Linked DNA regions of Drosophila melanogaster. The protein of the gene in region 1 interacts with the protein of each later gene in a pairwise test. Each region holds a gene or a part of one and is shown on either strand. Other genes may lie near its edges.

Region 1 (3,369 bases):
GGCAAGCGAGGGAGAATGAGGAGAGAGAGAATGAGAGAGCGAGAGAGAGAGAGAGACGGCGAGAGAGCGAAAGAATCGGTCGATCGCATAATGAAACCAAAAAGCAAAACGTTAAAGTTATTTCCATATTATATTATATATACATATAAATTTAAATATAAATGTTAGTTGAAGTCCACTCATAATTAAACACAAGGCTTAAACGTTAGACGCAACCCAATTGAATCCAATCCAATCCATTCCCATCCATCTCGAGTCCGAACCCCGCCCAAAACAGTTAATAAGCTACGTAATTGATATTGATAACCCCGAGAACACAAAGGGGCTAAAAACGTTTATAATGATGATCTATTTAAAAGTTAGATGCCGCAAAGAAAACTCTATCTGAACTAAACGGAAGCTAAATAAAATACTTTATAAAGCAATTGCCCCCCGTTTAATTTAGTATCTTGCAACGACTGAAAGAAATGGATCCACCCGGGGGCGCCAAGTAATGGATTGTTAAAGCATAATGCTGAGATAAAGAAGTTCTTCGTATTTATTTTAGACTAAAAATTTAGCAGATCTCTTGAAGCCTACGCCCAGACCTAGCCAACTACTTTTCATCGCTGGTAAAGGACAGGCCGGAAGTGAAGCCATCGCTGAACGCGCTGTACTCCGCCTGCTCCTCCGCCTGCGGCTGGTCGTCGGCCTGTTCCCGGCCCAGTTCCTCCGGCTGTCCCGAGGCGTTCTCTTGGCTGCCTGTGGGCACGCAAGAGCGCGGTGCCGTGCGGCGCTTTAACGGCGTCTCATCGTCCTGGCCGTCGTCACGTTCATCCTCGTCCAGCTCATCCCGCGAGACTTCCACTGCGGCTGCCTGAGCTGGGGAATCGGAAGCGGTGCCGCTGGTGTTGACCGCCGCATTGCCCAAAACGGCTCCCACGACTCCTCGCAGCACCCTGTAGAAGGCGTCGTGCACCTGACCCATCACTTGGCTAGCCGGACGCACTTGCTCCGCCTCGGGCTGTTTATACTGTTGGTACTGGTTTGGCGGCTGAATCTGCTGGCCTCGCGCCCAGCTGCTGTGGCTGCTATGCTTCACGGCTCCCTCCGCCCGACGCTGCGGCTCCTCGCAGGGACACTTGCGCCGCGGAGCAGAGCCTGATCCTCCCGATGTGGGCGGAGGTGGTGGCGGCGGCGGATCGTCGCGACAACCATTGTCATCCTCGCCCGCCGCCCGGCGCTGCTGCTCGCGATCGAACTCGGTCATGGCCCGCTCCGATCGCTCCCGGCAAACGGAGCAGTCGGGATCCGCGCCGTAGACGCCAATGTCGCCATTGAGGGACGACTCGTGGTCCGATTCGCAGCTGCACTTGCCGCTGGCCAACTCGCCGGTCTTGCCGGATCCGCGGCGCAGCTTGTACACGATGAACAACAGGGCCAACGTGGCGTATGTGGCCTTTGCCACCTGCGAAATGGGTCATAGTATATGTATTTGTAAAAAATGTATGTAAAAAAATGTTAAATTAATAATTTTGAATTTCAATTTGGAGCTGAAAATAATATTTTGTGTCCATCAACAGCTCCAAAGCGATGGTTCATTTTATCTTGTGTGCGTTCAATAGAATCACTCTTACGTTAGCGCGTCCATTGATGGTTGTCCCATTGAAGTACTTCTTAAAGCCGTCGGCCATTGCTACTGGACTGGATCTGGAGATCTGGAGATCTGGATTTGGGGTCGGGTCCGGGTGAGAGCTGAGTGTGTTCTGCCTATAGCTCCGAGCGAGAACCTAATGACAAGCAGCGAAGTGCAAAGCTCGGCCAACTAGATTACAAAGTCGATTCATTGGCAGGATTCGATTTTTATTGACTCAACGAGGTGGTACATGAGTTTGGTCCCCAAGCCTTTAACTGTGGCATCGAGGACCGGAAAGGGGGTGCTGATTATAAATAGTTATGGATTGCTGACGGGTCGAATGGGTCGGAGCGGTGGGGAGCCATGACTTCAATGATTTGGCAGCATCGGCGCCCTAGCCATGGAGCATGGCCTGCTGGCAGCCCTTGCAGTAGAGCTTGGTCTCGCGCCGCTTCGTGTTGCGGCGGTGCATCTTGACCAGGACGTAGACGAGTCCCAACGAGGCCCAGGTGGCCTTGGCTACCTGTGGGTTTCGGTGGCGTATTTGGGCGCATCTTGTGTACTGCCGTGTACTGAATCACTTACATTGGCGCGACCACGCATGGTCTGGCTGTTGAAGGCTTCGTTGAAGTTGAAATGATCGGACATCTTTGGATCGTTGTTGACCGGATTGGCGTGGCTTTTAACAAAAGATTAAAATTTGGATTCGATATTCGACCTGTATTTTAGACCGGGATTCGGATTGTGACTTTTAAACGTTCGAAATGAAAGGAATGTTACTGACAGTCGTCAAAGCCGACTCGGGTTTCCCAACTAGAGAGAATGCTGAAGTCTAGTACCGACTAATGGGATACCCATTAATTACTGCTTAAATACTGTGATGAAAATTGAGATATGCAAGAGGCAAATCGAAAGTTTTGGACATTTTCATATTGTACCTTTAACCAACTTCAGAATTCATTGAGCTAAATACCATTTACAATTTTATGAAATTTTTAAGCATGTTACAGCTATAACTATTTTTAAACCAGTTACTAGATTCGTTGAAAATTGTATGTCACACAGAACTTCTTGCCATCCTGGTCGGAATTAGGATCACTAGCCAAGCCGATATGGCTATGTCTGTCCGTATGAAAGTCTTGGAATCTGATATTAACATCGCATATCGATCGACCATTATATATCTAATATATCCTCTACAAATGTATTTTATCACCTAGCTAGCATGTAAACATTCTGGCCTATTTAGCTGTACGCTTCAGTTATGCTAATGCAAACATAAGCCTTTTGTGATATTATAATTTACATTTATTATTTATTGCAGTTAGCTTTATCAGCGATTTGGGCTCATGCCACACGCAATACTACTTATTTCAACGTCATCAGTTGTACTAAATGCACAAATGAAATACATTTCGCCAAATAAATGCCAACTTGCAACTAATTTGAATGCTAATCAAACCGAACTACTCATTTGCATACAAGGTAATAGGTGGTTAAAGTGAGTGTAATGGACTTACTTAAGGGGTTACAAGGCTTATATTTAAAATGCCTGCCTTGTAATTAAATTTTTAAATATATTGGAAAAAAATGGCCACTTGTTATGTGAGTCTCCAGAAAAAAAACAAAAAAACAGCAACCATCTGGTATGCAAAATATCTGGTGGTAGCAAAATATCTGGTGGTATCTGGTGGACTATCAAAATATAAAAACTTTTTTTTCCAGATAGTATATCTTAAAATCAGCATCTTGAA
Region 2 (7,573 bases), on another chromosome or scaffold:
ATACAGAAAACGCAAAACGCTTTTAAAACCAATATACATTTACATACATTTAATACAAAAATGGTTTAAAATTTAATGATCTTGTTTTGGGTGGCTTCTTTCTGATCGAGTAATTTGGATTGCTCTAGAAAGAGATCAGAGCTAATCGGATTTAAAAACTTTTGTTATCCATTTGCGTTGGTTATTGAACAATCAGAAATTGCACATGATTATGTTTATGATTGCCTGCCGATGTTCTCTTGGTTAGGTTTGCCCTTCAAATGTTGCGTTTTGAGTCTTGTTTTCTCACGGCACACCCAGCTCTTCGATTCCTCGAAATCCCGATCAGCTAGCTTCTGAATCACACATTGCTGTCCGTGCCCACGGCACCGGTGAAGGAGAAGGGCTGGGCGTTGTTCACAATCCCCGCTCGATCGTTGGTTTGGGCAGGTGTGTTTCCTCCGAAGGTTTGCTGAGCAGCTGCCCGCATGTCCTCGGCGGATGCTCTGTTGAAAAAGTAAAAGGATTACATTAGTCTTTAGAGTACAAAACATTGGCAAATGGTTTCCAAAATTATACAATTTACAAGTGCTCAACTAAAAACTGTGACTTTGCCTACATGAAACCAAAGGGTCGATAGAACAGCCAGATATTTCTAAAAGCTTTTCTAAGACAAACAAAAAAAAACTAAGGCAGCATGAATACAGTATACAAGTCTTACATAAATACCGGGAACTACAGGAACTAATCTAAATCAATTTCATTCTTCGTGTGCACAAGTAAATAAATACGTCATCAATCATTGACAAAATCTACGAAAAATATACAATTTACAATCGTTAGCAATTACAAAAAGGAAAGCTCAAAATGTATTTGCCTGTAGTGATCTCTTGGACGCAGCAAAGTTCAGAACTCGTTAACGTAAATCGTATATTGTTGTTAATCGCTGTTGGCCGTCGTTGAATGTACTTGGCTTTAACGGCAGGATTTTGGACAGTTTTCAGGTGGCATGTACAAAGTGTTTGATATTTGAATCATGCGCGTTCAAATTCTAACGAAATATTTTACATGTTTATGTTTTCATTTTTAGTGTTGCGTTCATTGATTAACAAAGTTCAACAAATTAATTATGATTCGTGATTACTTTAGGTGAGACTCTTAGTTGCTGGCGAAGGCTAAATTGTAATAAATTATCGCGAGTTTCTTGTAAATAATGTATATTTAAAGTTATAATAATTAAACTATACAATAACTTATGCGTAAAGTAAACAGATTTTGGAATGCTTCTGTGGTAAGAATGCCAATAGGCAACAACAAAAATAATTTAAAACGTTTTTCTCAGACTTTCAAAGTTAAACGATTGGAATAAACTCTTATAAATAACTTAGGTATACTAAAAAAAATAAGCATATACTTCTAGCAAACAAGAAATCATACGAAACCCGAAAACGAAATCCTATTAACCAAGTAATTGTCTAAAAAGAAAACCGTCTAACAATGCATCAAATTGAAATGGACACTTTTCGGTTACAACATTTAAAAAATATAACTGGTAAATTCTCAACTTGTTGTATATATATATATATATATATATTCTATCTGTATGCTTGATTATGTTCAATTTCAAATTGTGACTATCCCGCGAGCAAATCGATTCTCAAATAACGTTTAACATTTAATTTTATGGTTTACATCGAAGCAAAGCATATAAAGTTAATTATTTCTGAGTTGTACATATTGCTCTAGGTTCTCGACATTCACTTGTCCATATCATCAGTGGCTTTCCATTAGCATTAGCTGTGTGTGAGTGTGTGGAAGCTGTGGTTAACTTATAGGTTCCGGTTCCTCTTGCATTCGGTTAGCTTTCAAATATAGTTTCTCACTAAAAATATATGCTTGCTGCAGAGTTTGACATGTGAGTTACGTTATTGTTATCAGTAGTTGTTCTATGCATATTATATATATTTAACTGTAGTTCTTAACAACACCAACCGCTCGACGAAAGATATTAAAAAATTTGAATACGAATATAGTACGAATGCCATGCAAAACGGGGGGTCGAATGACGGAAATGCATTTGCCCAAAATATACTTTGATTACTAACACTCTCGGTTTCAACAGTAATGAGAATTTCGTTAAATTTTCTTTTGTATTTGGTGGGGTGTTCTGTATACTAGTTCTCTGATGCCCTACAATGCTGCTTTGTAGTGATTTTCCTTTTCACTTAGTTGCATTTATCCTCGGAACGAACACTAAAAACTAGGCGCCGTAAAATATTTGTTACTCGATCAATTCTTGCATCGTTCGCATTTCTAGTGGAGTATTTTGTGTGTGAATCTGTGTATCTGAGTATCTGTGTCTTTATCTGTATCTGAGTGTGGTTTTTTGGCAGTTACTAATGGCGCGGCTAGGAATTTATGTGGGGCGCCAGACATCGGGGTCTTCCATGAGTGTGATATGCTGATCGCCGCCCATCTGCATCTGACCGCCCGCCTGACTGCCGGCCATCTGTGTGGGCGATGTGGCAGCGGCGGCCATGTCCTCTCGAGAAGCTCTACGTGTTAGTTTATAGTTATTTAAGCGTTTTCACAGTGGCAAGCACATCGTGGGAATATAGAGAAAACATTTTGTTTCGATTAGCAAAAATGGCTTAGCAAAACTAACTAAATCGCTCGCTCCTCCGTTCGCTTAGCAACTAAACTAACCCAATAATCGAAGTCGTCTTTAAATTCAGAAATTCACCATAAAGCTTGTTTTTTAAATTCAGATTAATGTTTTAGGAACACATGAGTGCCTAATCAATGCAGTTTGATTTGAATCCAGCTATTTCTTTTAAAAATTCTGCGGCATAGCTGCAATTTTCTGAATTTAACTGCGATTTTCCGAGGTGCCCCATACTCACTTCTTGCCTAACGCCATCATGCCGTAAACCACGCCAGTGCCAAAGATCAGCCCACTGCCGAATAAGCTGGCCAGTCCAAAGCACAGAATAATGGGCGGAATGGCCATGCTGAAATGGAAAACATAATCTTTAGGAAATATTACAATTTGTGACAAATTTCTTTGGTTACTCACGCAATGTAGAGCCCGGCACGGAAGTACAAGGGCTTAGATTCCACCTTTTCCGCGATCTCGTTCACCTGCCCAAAGCAGACGAAACAGCAGGGAGCCTCCAAGAGCATCACCACAAATCCTGCCACCATTTGAAGGATGCCAGCCACCAGGCAGGATACGCTGAGCGTGATGATGGAGAACACATTCCACAGGCCGAAAAGAATGGCAACTGGAAGGAAAACATGGGATAAAAGATGTTAGTTATGCAATGTTATAATCTACTAATAATGAATATTTTCCTTGGCTATTATGAATTTGCTCCTCAATCTACTGTTTCCATGTAGCTCAAGTTACTGCTTACTGCTAACTTCTATTGATTTTTTATTATTTAAAAAAATTACATTCCTATCATATGTTGTATTTAATGTATGCAGAGGTCAAGCTATTTTTGTAATTTCCAATAAAAGGCGTATATCTTTATCGCTAAACACTGACCAAAAATACCAATATCATACTCCCACTAGACCCATTATGTCGGGCCAACCGCCCCGTATGGTAAAAACGAGGAAACGCAATCTAATCTACAACGCTGACTCATATTGTGCCAATTTCTAACTTTTTATGGCCTTCTCTTTTATTTAAAAATTTTTTAAACAAAAACGAGCCACAGAAGCGTGACAAACAGCATGAAAAACAGTTGGGCAAATTGTTAGTTGATAGTAAGTAGTTCAGTTCACAGGTAGAATTCACTAAATTCCATTCGATATCGCTAGAGGGGCGTACAAGTGAATTACATTAAAATATTTTATCAGCTGCTTTTGGTCTATGATAAAAGCATAAACAAAGAGTAAACAGCACATACGACTATAATTCGCAGATAAACAAATGCCTGGGGCGTGATAATTGGATAAAAGTGGCTGGTATAAATGCAGCAAAAGATCACGAGGAAAGGTTGAATTCTAAAATTCTAAATACATGAATAATAAAATAAAAAAGATTTCACGATTTAGGCCACTTTTAATATTTAGCTTCGCAAGTTAGGTTTTTCCTTTTGCGAAATCGGATCTGGGTTTTGAGGTTATTGCGGTTCTTAAAGCCAGGCAAACTGACCCAACCTGGGGAAGAAGTCGTTGTGCTCCACGGAACGGCTTATAAAATTATTTATTAATCATAGACTTTGGTTTTATTTTACGCAAACAAAACCGGTTCATTGTGGAAGCCGGACGAGTGAGTTGTGATCCCTTAATTGAGGTATTCAGCTATTTATATTGATTTTAAGTGGATGGTGTTCATTTGTTGGGCAATTTCTGCATTTCACTAAGTGAGAATCATTGCCAGAATATCCAACAACAAAAGATGCTTTTGTACAGAGAAAAAAAAGATGTTAAAAACGTTTTGAATAAATAAATATTCCTTTGGTTGATCTCTAAAAATTCCAGGAATAATATGTCAATGAGGCATATTGTTTCTGTGGAATTTTCATTTATATACATATGTATGGTTTAGATTGATTTTTAAAATAATTTTTGTAAGTATTCTAACGACACGAAACCCAATAGCATAATCAAAACCCCAACTGCGATTAAAAAGATTGACTTGGACTTAATCAAAGTAGATCACGACTACTTAAAAGTTTATTGAACTGCATTTTTTTATGCATTCAGAAGGTGATGATGAAATTACAAAAAAGATGCCCCAATTGAATTTAAGATACGCATAGACTTATTACGATATTGCACTTATAACACGTGTGGCAGCCTAAGGGTTAAGGTTAACTGAGTCCAGATAAAAAAGCAAATACGCAAACGGGTAAAACAAAGTTAAAAATAGAGATGGAAAGAGGGAAGCTGCTGATACAACAAAAGGCAGTGCGAATTTCGATTGAATGGGCACAGAGAATTACATTCGATGCGGAAAGAAAAAGCAGAGCGCCAAACTTGACACAGAAAAGCTCCTATACATACTTGCAATTTCCTACACACGAAATAAAAAGTTATCAAACGAAATGGTTAGATAAGAGATATTAAGTGCAGGAAGCCCACTTAGTTAAGTGGGTGAATGTATTATTTTATATTTCAATAACAAAACAAAAAAAAACCTTTTTTGGACTTTGTTTTACCTTAAAATTATACGTTTCATTCTTAATTCATTTGGAAATCTCACACTTTACCCTACATTTCTTTGATTTTGATGTAAAAATAAACTTTAGCTACATACATAACTAGTATTTTTTTCAGTGTGTGAATTTGTGTATCCTTTTTGTGTTGTCTTTTCCATGTTTCCTTTCTCCGCTCTCACTGCCTCTCACCTCTCACTCACCCTCTCTTGTTTTTCCTTTATCAATGTCAGAGAGCGTGCGTACACACACGAACACAACTGCACACCTACACCTACGAATAGATAACAGCAACAACAACAAAGGGTGGTACACAAAAATCGATGCAACATATTTTTGGGCCGCCCAATGTCACGGATGTTTTTCCCAACTTTTTAATGTGTTAAGCTAGTAGATAATTTATTATATATCCTACAACTTACAGAAGGCGGCCACAATGCCCAGCAATCGACTTCCATATTTGAGATACCACGGCTGCTCCGGTCCAATTGGATCTTGTTGATTCGGCCGTGCCAGCAGACCCGTTATCTTTTCCGCAAACGACTGATCCGGGAAATAGACGGAAATAGGGAGAAATCGAAATGCAATTAGGAAAAATCGAAGCACAATTTTGTATTGTGACGCGGCGGCCGCTTTTTTTAACACGCACACATTGCCACGACAAAAACACACACACCAGTTAACGCGCGGCTCACATGCATACACACTGACACCGCTCACTGCGTCAGCATTTTATCTCAGTCAATCAACAACTACCTACCATGGCTATTTATTTAGTTAGTTAGCTAGGCTTAAACTAATTCGAACAATTACTATTTGCACTTTTCACGTCACACGGAACGAAAAAAATCCTGTTGTACTTTGCGTTCTGCTGCACGCGAACCGAACTAGATCGCGATTCTGATGGCCGATAGAGCCTATCGATACTCGGAAGTTATCGGAGGCGAATGGAACTAGTTTCCTGGTATCCTGGATTCACTACAACATTTTTTAATTTTTAAATTTATATTGCAATTAGTCAACTTCTTACTTTTTTCATAATTATTTGTATTTTCTTGTTTTGGGTTTCGAACATTCAAATAATTACACAAATACTTTTTTAGGTAATGAAAAAACTACAGTCTAAACTTGTAAATTGGTTTTTGTTCGATTATGATATTAAACAATATTTTCCGGTTCTCTTAGCAAATGTTAGGCAAATTTGTGTACATTGAAAGCTTTTATACCGTTCAATATGCAGGCGGCATCTTTAGAAAATTCACTTCGATCTCAGATCGTTCACCTAACTCCTAAATCTGAACAACTATCTCTATTCAAATCAATCAAAATTAATTTATTTTTAGATTTGCATAAATTTCTAAGTCCGTAAATTAAAAATCGATTAATTCAATTGCCTATCGACATTAAGCAGCTCTGCATTGTATCGATAAATTAAACATCTATCGATAGTATCGATTAGCAGACATCGAAGAAATCATTGATTACTTGCCTTTTATTAACTTGGTTTTTGGACCTCCTCGAAAATATCAGCAAAATGACAGAAGCGGAAATTTGCAAACTATGCAAGGATAACCGAGCAATTGAGATCGATCTCGAGAAGCCCAAATTCAAATCGGCCAATAAACTGCTGCAAAGACTTTTCGATTGGTACAAAATTGATGTAAGTTCTGAAAGTGAGTCCAATGGATGTCAAATGCAAAGAAACCCACGTATTTTAGGCTGCTATCCTGGGGGAAAATTACTGCATTTGCGAGCCCTGCTTTGGAGAGACTTTGCGCATAAGCGAATCCCTGGAGAAGTGGGGCACGGCCCAGGACGAGTTTCACCGGAGGCCCATCGAAATAGACGACTCCACTGCATTTCAGATCAAGTTGGAGGTGACATCAAACAAAGAAGAGGTAGAAACGGAAAAGAATGATGAGGAGAATTCTTTCGATCAGCATATCGCGGAGCCAGTGAAGGAAGATCCATTGGAAAAAAACGAGCATATGGAGATCGTAGTCGAAGAATCTTTGAAAACCGCGTCCGTGGATTTCTTCAGCGTGGGATTGTCACGCGATGGCTTGGCAGTCACCAAGTTCTTCAAGGACAAGACCCAAGCCACTCGGATGCTGTGCACCTGTTGCGGCCATGTGCTCGAAATCCTGACCCACATACGCATGCATTCTTGTAAACCCCGCCCGAATCCGGTCTACTATTGCCGCGATTGTGGTTCAGAGTTCCACAAACTACACGAACTACATGAGCACATGAAGACGATGAAACACAACAAGACCATGTGCGGCGCAAAGGATTTGGAATTTCTGTGCCTCAGATGCAACCAGATATTCCCACGCTATTTCGACGTTATCCGCCACGAGAACAGCGTTCACAATGTATCCGATTTCATCTGCGTGGAGTGCAACATGTCCTTCGCTAACCAA
Region 3 (4,966 bases), on another chromosome or scaffold:
ACTTCTAAAGGAAATAGAAACTACTATCATTATTTGCTAGCTTTATCAATCATAAAGTAAATGGAAATAGTTTGCTGTGTGTATCACGCAGCCTCTTGCCATTCCCAACTATTACATTCCATTCCACCCGCAAGTGAGGAAGTCACTGCTTATTTAAGACCTTATCGCCTGGCGGTAGCTGCGAAGATGTTGGCGTGCTGGTTGGTTTTCAGTTGCTGGAGTAGCTCCGCTTAGATGCGGGGCGAGATTGGGCCAATCCGTGGGGGAATTGCCCGGCGAATAGGATGACGAGCTGAGTAAGCAAAATTGTGATAATTGTGTTGAGTGCCCCGAGACTCAAGCCTCAGCAGCTGAACCCGCCATGGAGGCATAGTGGAGGCAAAAAGGTCGCACCACAGAAAGCATAGGCAGTTGCAGAGGAAGAGGGTGTCGGAGACGGAGTCCAAAGCGAAGACGACGTCGGCACTGGAGTGTTACATTCGAGATACGCTCGCTTCTAGCTCCCCTTGCTGAATGGCTTGAATTGAAGCGCATCGTGGCTAACAATAAGAGTTGCAAAGGGCGCACAGTGGGTTAAAGTGCGATGATATCTCACCGCAATTACCGACATAACACTGGCGACAAAAAGCTAATTTCGGTGCGGTAATTTTGTGTTTTCGTGGGTCTGGAGCTTGGCAGCTACAACTTGTTGCCTAACATTTAAGTTGCTATGCTCGCAATTAAACATTGATATATTATTTACCAAAGAAATTAAGTTGTAAATGTAAATTACAATGACATATCTCACTATAATGAGGTGTCTACTGTTAAAGTTGAAGCGTCTCTCGAATTTTTTAGTTAAAATTAGAAAATGAAGATAAGCGAATGAAATCGAGTTTGATTTTATAATACGTACTTTCGATTGCTCGGTTTCCGAAACATTTGCAAATAAACAGACGTAAAGTTCGCCAAACATTTGAATAGAAAAGTCTGACAATGCTCTAGGCTTTATAGCCCTTTCAAAAATAATGTTTGCATCGTTTGGCGATCGATTTCCGCAGCTTGACCCAATTATGATTTCCCGAGCATTCGAATGGAGCTTCCACTTAACCCACGGACACACGTTCACTGTGGCTGCGATAGTTGCATGTGTAAGCGTTCGTGTCTAATCAGGAACGTGGGGAACTAAAAAAAAAAAGGGGGGGGGGGCTCTCCAGATCCCTGGCCGTTACACAACCACCGAGATGCTCTTGAATCGCTGCAACTGCGGCAGAACTGGCAATTGCAATTGACGCACACGCATCTGCGAATATGTGGAATGCAGAGTGCCTGAAAGGGGGAAACAGCGAATGGAAATAATACAGGCAAATAAAAATAACACTCGGAATGAGTAATGCGACCTAGGGGGAGCGCCCACCAAATAATAATAAATGAACAGCGAAGAAGAGATCATGACGATACGATGATGTATGAATTTGGCCCAGACTTTTACTTTTACTAGCCACAGCTAGCCAAGCAGCTAGCATAATTATCGCCGTTTACCGGGCTTTGTTATGCCACTTCGCGCGCGATGTGTAACAAATTTAAATGAAATGCATAGTGAATCGGGCAGTGAATTGTATGGAAGCAGGGCAATAAAAACGGGCGCCAATGGGGGCGGGCTAACTTGGCTGGCAAAACAAAAAGGTGTATAAATAGACAATGCCGAAACCGCAAATAATAACCAATACCAATACTGCGGGCGAACGGGCTGCGAAAGAAAGCGGCGAAAAAGTCATAATAAAAATTATAATAATGATTAAAAAACGCCGTCGATGTGGATGTCGATGTTGATGTTGCCGTTTGCAGTTGAGAAATGTAAATGCCACAAGGCCAAGCGACAAGGCGAGGCCGCCAATACACACAGACAAACCGAAGCCCGTGACACAGTCATCCACTGTAGTGTGTTCTCCAAGCCCCCTGCGAACCCGTACTCGTGTTCGTGTGCCATTGTGCATGTCTGGCGGCGATTATCGGATTTGGAGCGAACGACAACCACTGTGCGCCTTATCAGCAGCGACAACATGACACCCACCAGGGCCGTAGGCATGGCTGATTGCCGCTGCAAGGAGGGGCTCTCAGCTGGGAACTATTTTCAGATTGTAAGAAACATCATATGGATGTTTAAGCTAACATGCTAACAAACTATGATAAGCTAGGTACCTAAAGCAATATCAATATAATCACTTGATGAAGAACAAATTCTGTAACTTCCCCCTCTGGCGAATGACCGCCTACGCAACTGCCTGCCTCACTGGAAATCCCGGTTGCCCGATTACTAACCGCAATTGGCGAGGACCTTCTGCAGCGGCATGTCCTTGGGCAGCTCCTTGGCGGACTCGTCCAGAGCCTGGGCAATCTTGTAGTGACTGTTCTTCTTGGTCCGCTTGTCCTGCTCCTCGCTGCTCCCGCTTCCACTTCCGCCTCCGCCGCTCAGCGCCGGCAGCTTGCGGACGATCTTCTCGATGGTGTCCCGGTATCTGTCCACCTGCCGCTCGATCGCCTCCAGCTCCGAGTCCTTGCTGTCCGACTTGCTCGATCTGCGAATGCGAAAAGGACCATTTTGACACGGGTTTAGCACGGGTTAGGTCATCATCGGCAGTCCACTATTGTTACGGCTGTCATCGCGCTTTGTTATTGATGCAGTTGCTCTGTGGCTGCTTCTCTGCTGCTTTTGTTGTTGTTGCTGCTGCTGCTGTTGCTTCTTTCGTGATGAGGCAACACACACCTGTCTGTCCACCTGGAGCGCACTTACACAAACACACACCCACAGACATCCGACCGACAGACTGGCTGGCCTTTGAACTTACCTTGACAGATTTTCGGCTGCTATTTTGATTTTGGCAAACTGCCTCTTCATCTTGGCTGATTCGCTGGTGCCGCTCGCGTCTCCAACTTGAACTGAACTGCTGTGTGTTTGTTTGCGATGTGCAATTAGCTGGGCATTGAGTAAATACTTAAAACAGGCAAATTAGTCATTCTTCAACGATGTTTTACGGAAAAGTGAGGCGGGTGTGACCGCAGCGGGAGCGCTGGGAAATGACAAAAGGCTGGAGAGCGCCTTTTTCGAAAGTTCGTATTTGGTAACACTGTTTGATAAATGCCTGTTGAGATTTCTCAGAGCTTAGGCTAGAATTATGAATTTAAGCAATGGTTAATTAATGTTTATTAAATTTCAATCTCCTTTAATCTGAAACCATTGCTTAAATTCGCTGAATAGGGGAATACCCCTTACTACTTGTAGCGGTACCAGACATTTGCGCTAGGGTAACCACTGTCGAAAACACCCGAATTCTGTGGGGTCACACTGAACTCGACCGCCTTGCTTAGCTGCACGTGTGCGTGCGTAAATAATAGTTTTATTGTTATTTTACTCTCGAAAATGACCCAGGCGGAGATCGTGAAATGTCTGCGGGAGGAGTATGAAATCGAACACAACAAGGATCAGAAGCCGGAGAAGGAGGACCTGCCCGCCATCACCAAAAAGTTCTATCAGCGAGTCTTGGAACTGCTGACCATTCACAAAGTGCCCTACTCCAAACAAGAAGGTGAAACCATTAATGAAAAGCCTTAAATCTTTAACTTTATCGTATTTCCTACAGATGAGGAGACCTACGAAGAGTACCTGCTGTCGGACACGGAGGAATCGGGAAACAAGAAAAAGAAACAACAGGGAAAACTGAAAAACCAAGACTCCGACGACGAGGATGTAGAGGCACGCATTGCCTCCATCAAGAACAAGCTGCGCCAGAAAAAGGGACCCACAACGGAGCGACAGCAGAAGCGACGCGAATCTAAAAAGCTTAAACGCAGCAAGGGCGTCCAGAAACTGCTCCTCTCCTCGGCCAAAAACCTCAAAAACGAGAACGTCAAGCACCAGAAACTGAAGAATGGCGTGGTGAAATCAGAACAGGAGACGGAGGACAGCAAGGAACAGATCCAGCCGGTCAAGGTGCAACCGGTTTACAACCAGGAGGCCAAGATCGTCTACTCCAAGGTGGACTTTGCCGCCAATCCTGGAGGCAAAGCCAAGAAGTCTCACCAAAACCCCAAGGAGATTCTGAAGAAGCTGCGCGACACCAAGAAGCACCTAACCGAACTGCGCGAACAGGGCGAAACGGACAAGGCGGCGGAGATCCAGACGGACATCGCCTGGCGCAACGCATTCGACAAGGTCGAGGGCAAGAAGGTCAAGGACGACACCAAGCTGCTGCAAAAGGCCATCAAGAAGCGGCGCGTGGAGAAGAAGAAGTCCAAGACCAAGTGGACTGAACGCAAGCAGAAGGTGGAGCACGACAAGGAAAAGAGGCAAAAGAAGCGACAGGAGAACCTGGAGAAGCGCAGCAAGGACAAGAAGAACCGGAAACTAAAGACGGCCAGCAAGAGGGGTCGCATCATACCCGGCTATTAACTATGCTTACTATAGCCCTTAAGTGTAAAGTAGTGTAAATGTATGCCACGTTGAAATTCAACTCAGAATGCTTTAGAAAAAAAGTGATCTTTCTGAAATTTACGTTTTTATACTTTCGTGTTAGAAATTTACTTTTCCGGCCTCGACACAGTCAAAATTCCAGTAGACAGCTAAATTCCCAGTTCCAAGCCACACTATTTGGCTCCTCGTTTTTGTCCACTTTGTGTCACTTTGTGTTCCACTGTGCGTTGCGCGGCTTCACCAAAGATTGGCAAGAAGAAGAACGGCGAACAGCTGAGACCGATAACAACAATCGATTGATATCGTAATCGTTTAGTTGGATTGCTGCGATTTTTCCAGATTTTCCGAGTACTTACAAGAGACAAAAAGTGGATCAGATAATGCTGGAGACCCTAGAAATTTGTGGATCTTTTAATACAGTATAGTGACCGATTTGGCAAGAAGAAGCAGAGCGAGTGGGGCAGCCAAAACAACGAGAATCACACGCACGCACACAGCCACAAAAATTACGTGCAG
Region 4 (4,680 bases), on another chromosome or scaffold:
AACCTCGAACCGAAAACCGAACCACAGCCATCCTGTGTCTAATTAGTGTGACATTGTCTCCCCTTTCGCAGGAGCTGACCGTCAATCAGCCGCAATCAGGAGTCCGCGAGGCCAGCGAGTTCATCATATCCTGCACGGCCCAAGGCTCATCCCGGATGCAGTTCCAGTGGTTCAAGGATGGCGCTGTGGTTAATGCCAGCAAATCGACGAGGTGAGTGAACTATATATATACATGTCGCAGCTGCTTATCTTCCACAACCAGCTCGAAATGCCATAAACTTGCTGCCCGCGTAATGGAATATGGAATGAGAATGGAGTAGTGCCTAGAAAACTGTGAAACGGAGTCTGGAGTTTTAATAAAATAGTATAGAATCGAAAGAATATGGCAAAAATCAATGTCACACTCGGAAAGTCAGAAACGGGTGAAGACGGGTGGAAATCGCGAGGGATGACTCTCGTCACAAGTGTTCAATTTGACTTTATGACTTTTACACATCAATAAACATGACATAAAAACGCCAGGCGGAATAAAAATGAAATGGCCAAAAAGGATAAATAAGTCAGGGCAAAGATAAAGATTTGTCAGTGGCCATGGACGAAGGACGGGGTACAAGTTGGTAAGTTGCTAGCTGGGAACTGGAGGCTGGCTGGGATACTGAGTTCTGGACCAGACCGAAACCTAACCGCAGTAAGCCTAACCGAATGATTGATCATAAATCCTACAGAGTGGGCCAGCCGGAACACATGTGTTGGCCAACATATACGAATGGCATGCCCATTCCATTCCGGAATGCCTCAGACTTCCGACTACAGGCTCCACAACCCCGCAATTCAGATCCACTTTCGGATCCACTTGGCTGGCGGGTAGTGTGGGTGTATTACATAAAAAGCATATGGCCGTAACTAACGAGGGGCTGTTACTTGGGCGACTTGGCAGGGGTTATGAGCAGCTTAGCCCTACCAGGAGCAACACCACCCACTTTCCGCCCGTCATGTTGCCTTGACAATTCGCCTTGCAGCCGAAAGCACCACCACAAAGCTCAAACTTTAAATGTGTTGCGTGAATGGCAAACGAGCGAAACGGAGGTCCTTGGAAAGGATTGGTTAAATGAGTACGCGGTGCGCAGGGCGGTGCAGATGCCGATAGAATTCGCAATTCATTAACAAAATTTTAAGCCTTGGCAGGCTGGCTTTCGCCATTCTGGGACAACGCGTTTTTGGAAACTACATGTCACGAAACGTTGCCAAAAGTTGTTTTTATCTGACCAGAAATTTAAATTTCCATTCTCTTGAAATCTAAAAATATCTAAAATTTCAAGAAAATGCGCGTATAAGCTGTTTGGTTAGGAAAACATTCGAAATGGATCGAACTCTTTAGGAATATAACTATTATATGGTAAATTGTTGTTTTTATCTTTGCAACAATTTAACCAAATATAGTTTGTATTACTTGTTATTCAATCGGCAGATGGCCATCAAATTGATAACGATGTGTTCTATTTTTATGCGGTATTCGAATAAAGGATTGTTCATCCGAATATTACCTTTCAAATAAATAAATGTATGGCCCCCATTCCCGCAAATCGATAACCAAATCTATTCTCGGAGTTCAGTTTTTGTTATCTAGTGAAGCCAACTATGCGTTTTCCAAATGCCAACTGCTACATAGAACAATTCGGACCCTTCCATGGCCATTCCGCCAGCTAGCCCCATCCGATGATGATGATGGTGATGGAGGAGGAGGTGGTGGTGGTGGTGGTGGTGGGGATCCGGACTTATGATTACTTTTATGCATATTTGTACGGATCCCCCACATGTACATGGTATCCTTGTTTGCTGCAGGACCTCCACGTGGCTGGCAGACCTTCCATCAGTTTCAGTTTCGCCCAGTTTGCGTGGCCCACTCGGACGCATTGATGTGTAAAAAATGACTGCCGTACAAAGCCGCAAACATGTGTTTTACTCCACCCAAAATCCCCGCAAATGGAGGGTAGGCAAGTATTAGTAAATATTTTAACTAAAGTGAAGTGAGTGAAGTCATTCATTTGGACATTTACCAACTTTGCATTATACAAACGACTACACATTAAATCCGTCCGATGACTTTACTTTTGCGTACTAAAATAACCGGAAGTAAGTGAATTTTTAATGCTTGATTTCACCGCAGGGAGATGTTCACTTGGGCAAATGCTATTTATTATCGAAATATGGCCAATACTGGCCATCTACTGATTAGTTACCACCGATGGCTATTGGCAACCAATTGGCACATTTAGACAGTTTGCTTAAGGCACGTATAAAGTAATTGTGTTTAGACTTAGATAAAGGACAATAAATATAAGTATACATATCTAGTAACATTAACTACATTTTAAGAATATGAAGTTTCGAGCTTTCGGAACACTATCAACCAATCCGTTGTGGCCAAGTGTAACGAACCTTATGTTCAGATACAGATACCTTTAAGCCCGCAAACTGAGGCGTTCGGCCGTTAATCTATTGGATTGCCAGTCGCCGAAATTGTGACCCAGTTAGCAGATGTTTATCGCAAGCGTCGTAGGCAATAACCCACTTAATGAATGCAATTATTTTCCAATCACGGCACTAAGGCATCCAAAGCTGGTTGCCAAGAGGCCCGCAACCATGGCTAACTGGCCCCAAACTCCCAAAACAGGGGTGGCTTTGATTAACATGCCTTGGCGTTCCAATTGCCATTTGAAGGCGGTAGGTACACACACACACACACACATGTGTGTAAAATAATCAATGGCCACGGTCATTAATTGCGCCCCTAATCCTGTGTCCTTTGCAATCTGGGGCGAGGATTTGCAGGACTACAAGGCCGTTGGGCTGATTAAGTGCCACAACAGTAGTAATACAATTATTGAAGCAGCGGCTAAGCAAATACTTCTCATTAAGCCAACTTCGATTGTCTTAATTGTTGGATTTTACTTTTCAAAAATATCCTTAATCGCTTGAAATAATCGAGGTCCTTTTATTGTGCAAACTACACCACTTTTTGCTTACTTAAAGCTTGCGAACACCTTTAAAGTCTGAATTGAACTGAGTTCAAGACTGAAAAGCAGCCAACAAAGATCCATTTTTCCCACATTTTATTTGCCTAACAAATTCCAGCTAATTCGATCAACAGGAGCTTGCTAAAAACTAAGCTCTGTACGTTTCTCTGACGTCTTTGGCATCGATGTGTTATGTAAAAGCGGTGCACAATTTGTAGCCAGCAAACCAATTGACCTTTTGAGGAAGGAATTTAGATTCCTGCTAATATTAGCTTAACCCTAAGCACTTGCGTAATCTATATTTGTCCCAGCGCCATGAAGTGGAAGGGCTTGACTGCCTGTCAATGCAATTTCAAACCCATCTACCCCTTGGCCCCCATCCCCTTTTGACTTTTCTGCTTTTCCCTTGGCCAAGAAAACATCGACTTTTGGCTTGGAAGCTAACGAAACTGTTGCAGTCACTTTTGGCCGTGCTCTGAAAATTTGTCAAACTTGCTTAAAAGCCAAAGCAAAAATTCAATTTCAGCAGCCATGCAGCGCGAGCAGCCAAATTGCCTGACCCCAGCAGCACCAGACATAAGTAAAATATATATCGTATATATTTTACAAATTGGCTCAACCCGGGGCAGCAGTGGTACAAAAATGGCAGCAACAAAGAGGCAACAACTGTCTTGACAACGCAACGACGATGTCGTCGTCGTCGTCTAAGGACAATGGAATACAGCTATCGAATACAGGGTGCAAATCGAGAGGAAGTGGTTGTAATTTGGTCCCACGAGCCTTAAGGATTTGGCGGGAAATTTAATCCGACGCAGCTTTCATTATCTACAGCCAATCAGAAAATTTGGTTGCTTACTTTTGCCATATTTTCCGTAAAAGATAGCACCCTGTTAACAGCTGTTTGGATAGCACTGCAGTCACACTGAAAAAAAAAACGCACTAAAAAAAGTGTATTTCAAATTTTAAAATAAGTATACAATTTTAACAAGGACTTTTGCCACTCTTCATGGAGTAGCTTTCGATTTTCATAGATATCCATGCAGTTTCTCTTAGTGCATAAGTATCCAATGTTGCTGTGGGGTCACGATTTTCATTAGTTTCATTTGCCACAATGCGTCTGCCATACTCGTCTGCCGAGTTCAGTTGCTCGGATTTGCTTTGCTCTTCCCGTGGCGGGGTGACAATGGTACAATTAGTGACACCATTCGCCATTCCTCCAGCACTCGGTTTGATTCAAAATTTTTGGCATTATCTCATAACTGGCTCAACTCGCGCTGTGTGCACTGTGCTCTCCTTGTCCCGTCTTCCGATTCCGGCTCCTTGGCGCCGCTTGTGCAATAAAAGGACGAAGCTCCGCGGCTGATTGGACTGCTGGTGGGACGGGTATTGATCAAACAGTTCGAGTTGTCGGACAAGGCTGAGACCCACTTTCCCGGGAACGCGTGTCCCACTGAAGGAACGCGATACAGTAAAATCCTGATATATGTAACTGATTGAGAGTTATCACTTAGTAAAAAGCCATTTACCTGTAGCCAACTTAATTAAAAGAATATCTTTTGGTTTACGTGCATGTTTCTAAATGATCCTTTCCTGCATCGAATTGGAGTCGCACCTACTGAAGAGTCACTGTACTTAAAAACGCCATTGAAGGTGGAACAGAAAT

The links.
Region 2: the proteins of CG15459 (region 1) and fwe interact in a two-hybrid assay, tested with the Drosophila melanogaster proteins (one large-scale study listed by BioGRID).
Region 3: the proteins of CG15459 (region 1) and RhoGAP92B interact in a two-hybrid assay, tested with the Drosophila melanogaster proteins (one large-scale study listed by BioGRID).
Region 4: the proteins of CG15459 (region 1) and CG34109 interact in a two-hybrid assay, tested with the Drosophila melanogaster proteins (one large-scale study listed by BioGRID).

What each region holds. Positions count from the first base shown.
Region 1 is NC_004354.4:20,411,825-20,415,193, forward strand, and holds CG15459 (uncharacterized protein), read right to left. Parts: upstream 1,758-3,369; 5' UTR 1,674-1,757; coding exon 1,617-1,673; intron 1,448-1,616; coding exon 596-1,447; 3' UTR 517-595; downstream 1-516. Other genes in the region: CG15458 (uncharacterized protein), read right to left, coding at 2,010-2,138, 2,201-2,263.
Region 2 is NT_037436.4:15,810,364-15,817,936, forward strand, and holds the start of fwe (flower), read right to left. Parts: upstream 6,048-7,573; 5' UTR 5,914-6,047; coding exon 5,911-5,913; intron 5,694-5,910; coding exon 5,573-5,693; intron 3,264-5,572; coding exon 3,056-3,263; intron 2,991-3,055; coding exon 2,883-2,990; intron 2,535-2,882; coding exon of another isoform or gene 2,396-2,534; exon of another isoform or gene 1,879-2,395; coding exon of another isoform or gene 1,845-1,878; exon of another isoform or gene 857-1,844; intron 486-856; coding exon 341-485; 3' UTR 1-340. Other genes in the region: CkIIalpha-i1 (CKII-alpha subunit interactor-1), read left to right, coding at 6,685-6,810, 6,869-7,573. UniProt on the Drosophila melanogaster protein: Transmembrane protein which mediates synaptic endocytosis, fitness-based cell culling, neuronal culling, morphogen gradient scaling, and calcium transport. Regulates synaptic endocytosis and hence couples exo- with endocytosis.
Region 3 is NT_033777.3:19,903,223-19,908,188, reverse strand, and holds the start of RhoGAP92B (Rho GTPase activating protein at 92B), read right to left. Parts: upstream 3,026-4,966; 5' UTR 2,879-3,025; coding exon 2,829-2,878; intron 2,741-2,828; exon of another isoform or gene 2,559-2,740; coding exon 2,302-2,558; intron 509-2,301; exon of another isoform or gene 98-508; intron 1-97. Other genes in the region: Surf6 (surfeit 6), read left to right, coding at 3,401-3,566, 3,621-4,429. UniProt on the Drosophila melanogaster protein: GTPase activator for the Rho-type GTPases by converting them to an inactive GDP-bound state.
Region 4 is NT_033779.5:10,092,445-10,097,124, reverse strand, and holds the start of CG34109 (uncharacterized protein), read right to left. Parts: upstream 3,038-4,680; 5' UTR 3,028-3,037; intron 212-3,027; coding exon of another isoform or gene 72-211; intron 1-71. Other genes in the region: CG44153 (uncharacterized protein), read left to right, coding at 72-211.